2 linked regions of the Callithrix jacchus genome follow. The protein of the gene in region 1 interacts with the protein of each later gene in a pairwise test. Links are inferred from orthologs where the notes say so. Each region holds a gene or a part of one and is shown in the gene's direction. Other genes may lie near its edges.

Region 1 (2,928 bases):
CATTGCACTCCAGCCTGGGCAGCAAAAGTGAATCTGTCTTGAGGAAAAAAAGAAAAGAGGAAAACAATGTCAAGTGGGTCGTTGAGGTCAAGGGCAATGCTCATATTTCTCTGGAGAAAACAAAAGGTTCTTGGGTCCTGAGTGAGAACAGATGGACCCAGCCCAAGTCTGGGATGCTGGGAGGAAAAGGCGGTTGGGCAGGGAAATGCTGAGATCCTTTGGGCCCAAGTAAGTGTACGAGATCTGTGGGACATCCACGAGGTTTAGGTGACCAGGACTCCGGGGTCCTGCAGGACAAGGGGACTTGGTGACATCAAGAACAACCCTTTGGTCTCTGGCTTCTGCTCTTAGGGAGATAATAGGGTCATCCTCATATAGAGGAGCATGAGAGCAGGGCAGGTTGTAGAAGGTGGTGAATTTGTGCACAGGTTGCAGCCCAGAAGTCCTTTTGCTTATGGGGTCTGGGACCAGGGGGAGACTGGGCATTGTTAGGGTTGGGACTTTGAGTGAGAAGAATCAGAGAAGAACTAACCTTTTTGTTTCCACAGAGAAACTTCCAGGGAGAGCCAGCACACCCTGGAGAAGGAAGGAAGGAGCCATCCATGTGGTAAGGAGCTGAGCCGTCCATCTGCCTCAGGATGTTTAGAGTTGGAGGACTAGATGAGCCCTGAGGGGGTCTGCATGCCACCACTCACTCATTCATTTACATCTTCCAGGAGCAGACCCTGGGCAGGTAGGCTAGGAGATGAGACCTGGCCCTGCCCTCAGCGAGTCTTGGGACTAGGAGGAGATCTGGCTCCTGACCCTGCCTCGGGGGCGGGCTCCTAGGGAGGCCCTATGCCTGAATGGAGCCCTGTGGGAGTGGCATTAGTACAGGAGACTCTTAGACAAGAAGACACAATTGTCAGGCAGAAGGGACAGCTCAGTCACACGATCATTCTCTCACTGAACACACCTCTCCCAATGCTCCAGAAAACCTCCTTGGAGAGCTCCCAGTCACCTGGGAGATTTGGAGGGTGAGGAGGGTCTCTGCAATAAGCGTGGATTCAAATCCCAGCTCAGGTACTTCGAAGTGGGGCAGATGTGAGCATTAGGTCGTATGTTGTGAGGCCCCAGCCCTGTGATTGGGATATGATTGTTAGAGGCTGTGTCCAGGCCTGGGACGATGGAGAAAGCACTAGATGTCTGGGCCCACCCTCCTTCAGAACCCTGGCCTTGGGGCCTCTGGTTTCCTGTGGTGCTTCCCTCTCCCCTCCCCTCTTTCAGGCTCCCAGCTGCGGCTCCTAATGAGGCTGCCTGCCAAGGCCTCTAATTGGACTTGTCTGGGAGGAGCTGAGATTGGGCGGGATGGGAGCTCTGGAGCTATGACCTCCCTTTGCGTCACCAGAGAAAGGAGGGGGAAAGGGGCTGAGCAGTGGTGGAACAAGGGGAGGCAGGTACCATGCGAGTTTCCAGAGGGCAGGGGCAGTTTGATCCACAGATTGGAAAGCTGGGAGTGAGGAAGGTGGTGAATGCAATGGCCCCTAAAGGTAGCCAGCAGTGAGGACTTGGACCTTGAGAGGGGTTGGATCCCAAGTAGAAGTTTCTGGGCATCAGATAGTGTTTGTCTGACTGGGGCAGAGCTGGGGGGCCTAAGACCACTAGATCCCTTATTTCGTGGTAGCACAGCTGTGTTCCTGAGGGCATCTTTGAGGGTTTTGGGGCTGAAGCTTGTAGTGGTGGCAACTATAGGGCTGGATCCCTGGACCCCAATGAAGGCAGTGGCTGGTGGTGTGGATGGCAGGGACTCAGACGGCTGTGATCCTAGGAGGGGCCTCCCTAAGAGTCTTCCCCGGAGGCAGGGTCAGGAGCCAGATCTCCTCCTAGACCAGAGACTCGGAGGGCAGAGCCAGGTGTGACTCATCTCCTGGCCTACAGGCCCAGGGTCTACTGGAAGATGTGATTGAATGAATGAATGAGTGGCATGCAGCCCCCTCAGAGCTCTTCCTGTCCTGGAAGAGGGGCTTACACACCCAAGAGGATCTGGGATGGGGAAGAGCTCCAACCGTTGGATTCTGTGCGTGGGAAGGTCCCAATTGGAGTCCCAGTTCTCCAAGAACACCCAGTGAGAGTCATGGAAAAATGGCTCAACCCACTACATAGGAAGGGGGTTTCTACACATGCTCTAGGGTCTCAGAGAGGCCTGAATCTCTGGTATTTTGGAGAGTGAGAGAGCCGGAAGCCTCAGTTCCCAGCTGGGGTATCAGCTGGGGAAGTAGTGGCTGAGAAAGCAAATCTGAGATGAAGAGGCCCCTTATTCTTCTGGCATTCAAAGACCCTTTCAATAATTTGGTGAAAATTCCCCTGAAAAATACATATGCAGAACACCCCTGAGGCCCTTCCATGCTGCCTGGCCTGTGCTAAGACCCCTGCTCCTAGGCTTCCCTCCCAGCCTGTAGCAGGCAAAGGGAACTAGGGAGAAGAGGAGGATGCCAGCAGTGACTTTGTGGTCCTCAGGTTAACCAGAAGAGAGGAAGAGGAGGCTGCGGCGAGCCAGGTCACGGTAGGCAGTCCCCAGAACCCCTCCCCGGTCCCCATCCACTCCAAGCCCGCAGAGGCTCAATTGTTTCAACTCTTTCCCAAGCCCCAGCCTCAGACCCCTCAGGAGCAGAGAGGAAAATCATTTGGCCAAGAGATAACAAGGCCCTTGCTGTAACTAATGAGACAGAGCGATAGTGAGGTGGGGGGTGGCTTGGAGGCTAGTGGGCGGCCAGGCTGCTCCCAGGGGACTCCTCCAGCCACACACAAGGCTGCAGTCGCCATACGGCAGGCCTCATAGACGTGGCTACACCCACGGATTGCATAAATGCACACGCACATTCGCCCACACTCGGAGGAGGTTGGGCTGGCCCTCCCCAGCCAGCCTCAGAATTCCCTGGGGGCACAATG
Region 2 (3,653 bases), on another chromosome or scaffold:
GGTTTATCGAATAGAGAAACAGTCTTTTGGAAACCGTACAATGCTATTAAAATATAAGAATTATTGTGGCTAGTGTGAGGCTAGAATAAAATGAGATCTATGTGAAAAGTTGAAGAAAAATTTTAGTACCTGTAACCATGCATGCTATTTTTTTCTTGTGAAATGAAAATACTCTTGTCAAATATTTCTTCTTTTCAAGCATGGTTCTTGACTTAGACCCATGCTGTTCCTTCCATAAGCTAGTGGTTTCTGCTTGTGGCCATGTTTCATAAGCTAGGAATGTCCGGGCAGCAGGAGTAATCTCTGGTGTTCTGTTCTAGGTATTTACTTTGCTGTGGATTGCTGACTGGATGGTCCATCACTTCTGGAGGAAAGGAAAGGACCCAGACAGTTTCTCCATCCCCTACCTAACAGCACTGGGTGATCTGCTCGGGACAGCTCTGTTAGCCTTAAGTTTTCATTTTCTTTGGCTTATTGGAGATCGAGATGGAGATGTTGGAGACTAATAAATCCTACAAACTGTGTCAAGTTACCAAGGAAGAAGATACACTACAACCACTTATGGCTCTTTTTCAAAACTCTTAAATCAGTAGTTTGACTTTTGCCAGGGTAATTGTCAGTTGGCCCTGATCCGATTAAATGGCCTTAACTTTTTTTTTTCAAGGAATTTGTGTCAAAACCAGAATGAACAGTATTTGTGCTGCTTTTCATAGAATAAATGATAATTTAACATAGACATAGATATAGACTCCAGCTCTGAAACTAATTAGGAAATAATATGGGATGTTTACAGTGAATAATTTTAAAACCACAAACATAGCAAATGTACTTGATTATTAAATTTGTAATGCAGGATTAGAAGCAGAGCTCTTAGCCTTTGTTGTCTCACAGATGTGCCGTATCCCAGGCATACTATAAAATGAAGGGTGCCCAACCAAGCTTTGAATCGTTTTAACATTGCCCACCTCTATGTTAGCTGAGGATAAATTTACCAATTGCTCCTATTTAAACTAACCTAAATACGTTTTGCTGTGCATAAGATAAACTCACTTTTACCTCCATCTAAAATTACCCTGTGCCAATGTCAATTCAATTTCAGTTCTGCAAGTTCTTGTCAGGCTAATTGTTAAACATGGAGTGATCTCCAGAAATCTTTAATGAAAGAGTGGGTCATTTTTTGATCATTTATTTGTTGGAAAAATGTTGTTGTGTTTTAGAAAATGTAATTTTCAAAAACAGAAGATAACCTGAGATGCATTTGTAGAGACAAGATGATGTGAGAAATTGTGTATGTGTATGTGTGTGTGTGAGAGAGAGAGACTTCTGATGAAGAACTAAATCTTGGATTGCTGATAGCAAAGATCATAGTGCTGTTAGAATATCAGCAATATAGTTATTCTTAAACATTTCATTAATATGTTTTTGCCATTGGTCCAAAAATGTTGCTACTGACCAGAATTTACTATTTGTTACCTATATTCTTTTTTTTTTGAGATGGAGTCTTGCTGTGTCACCCAGACTGGAATGTGGTGGTTCAATCTTGGCTCACTGCAACTTCCACCTCCTGGGTTCAAGTGATTCTCCTGCCTCGGCCTCCTGAGTAGCTGGGATTACAGGAATGTGCCACCGCACCCAGCTAATTTGTTACCTACACTCTAATTAATTATTTCTTATTTTTTAAAAAACTGTACTATTTAATATAATCAAGATAAGAAATTTAAAATGAGCAAGTGATTCATTTGCTCTTTTTAAAGAAGCCTGTGACTTACCCTTTAAAAAAAAGAAGTTAGTCGATTACCTCAATTATTGTTCACGCTTAAACATATCTGTTTGTACAGGCTTATTTCTGCATGGGACCCTATCATATATACTGTATTTCTCAAATATTTTTCTAAAACTCTGGCCTATATTCTAAACAGTTGACCAACACCATATTCAATAGGTAACCATTTTTAAAGCACATGTGGTTCATTTTTTAAAATTCAGTGCAGTCTCTCAAGACCATTAGATGTTTAATAATTTAAGCTGATAAGGGTATCAAATTGCACATTACCTTTGATCATCATGATTTAAGTTGTACGTTTGTGTTATTATATAAATATTAGGTTGTTTATAAGTACATTGGGAAAAGTATTCTTGTTAAGCTCTTTTAAATGAGGGGGCTGTGGTTTAGAATTATATATTTTTGCTTATTTTTAAACTTAATTATTCCATTCTTCTGCCTTATAATGAAACTTTTAAGGCAGAGAACTGAACTAATTATAGAATTTCTCCTTTGGAGAGTTATAATGTCACATAGTGAACATTCTTATAAAAGAAAGAATAAGTTTAAGTTGATGAATATTTAGCTGCAAAGATTTTTTACTTTAAAAATTCATGAATAATATCTTTGATTTTATTGTAAAGCATTTGTAAATTACTTATTTACATTTGGGCTGTATGATTCATAAACATTTACATTTCCCACTGATTTCTATTTTGATTTTTTTAACAAAAAACATACAGTGAAAGCTACATTTTTAAAGCATTAATCAACAACTTTAGTCTGTTGTATTACACATTCCAGTGCACATTCAAATATGCAATATTATTTAATACTCACAATAGTACCTGAAAAATATGTCAGATGGGTATTCCTATCTCTATTTTATAGCAGAGGAAACTGACATTCAGAGAACTTACATTTCTAAAGTTGTGCAGCTGCAAAATGACCAAATTGTGAAATCCCTAACATCCAGGTTTTCATAATGCCAGTACTCTTTCTATGACACGTTTATGACCCTCCAAATGTACCAAGACTACCTAACTAATTAACTGAAAGGAGGCCAACTGGAAAAATAGGATTTTTAAAAGTACAATAGAGTGTTACTACATCTTTTCGATTTCAGACAGAGAAACCTCCATTTATTATATCCTGATGGTGAGTATTGCCAGCTCTAAATTATTCATGTTTCTAAGACCAAGGAAAATACAGGTAAATGAAAATTTTGAAATAAAAAACAATGCCTTAATTCGTAGAATCCATCATTGCTACCACCTTGCCCAGGTCTGGCCATTTGCTGTAAATGCTGGTAAATAAATATAATGACTGATAGAGTTCTGTCTCGTTTCTCTTTTGCTACCCCACCTTGGTTAGAACAACCAAATGTCTAAAAGGCATGTAATAGGAGAAAAAAAACACATTAGTCACCAATTCGCTGATTATAAAAGGGATGTAGATTCCTTTAAGTTATTACCGACCTTTTGAAAGCCTTCCCATAAGTATGCAACGGATAAAATGACTCATTTCACTTACCCACAACAATCGTCTATTATCAGTCTTAAGTAATGTTAGTTCACTGTATTTATTTTTATACAACATTAAAACTTCTGCTTTCCAAACTTCTTCCTTTCACTAATTTATCAGCCACTTTATTTATACACAGATAACTCTCTTAAAAACGTTTTCCTTTCTTGCCCACCATTTTTTTCTTTCAAAAATAAAGTTTCTTAGAACCTGATAAAATGGAAACTTACAGTAATACATCTTCTGGGAGATGTCAAGAAATTCTACACCATAGACTATCAATGATGTAGCCAAATAAAGACCATTTAAAAAAATCTTCCAGTAATTAGGCTTCCTTGCCTTTTATCTATGGTATAGTGTACCCATT

The links.
Region 2: the proteins of KASH5 (region 1) and SLC41A2 interact in binary tests that used the Homo sapiens proteins (3 or more experiments, as listed by UniProt). The two-hybrid records come from large-scale screens. The link is inferred for Callithrix jacchus from reciprocal best matches to the Homo sapiens genes KASH5 and SLC41A2.

Annotation. Positions count from the first base shown.
Region 1 is NC_133523.1:43,175,943-43,178,870, forward strand, and holds part of KASH5 (protein KASH5), read left to right. Parts: intron 1-548; coding exon 549-607; intron 608-2,496; coding exon 2,497-2,542; intron 2,543-2,928. UniProt on the Homo sapiens protein: As a component of the LINC (LInker of Nucleoskeleton and Cytoskeleton) complex, involved in the connection between the nuclear lamina and the cytoskeleton.
Region 2 is NC_133510.1:107,729,986-107,733,638, reverse strand, and holds the end of SLC41A2 (solute carrier family 41 member 2), read left to right. Parts: intron 1-320; coding exon 321-506; 3' UTR 507-3,094; downstream 3,095-3,653. UniProt on the Homo sapiens protein: Acts as a plasma-membrane magnesium transporter. Can also mediate the transport of other divalent metal cations in an order of Ba(2+) > Ni(2+) > Co(2+) > Fe(2+) > Mn(2+).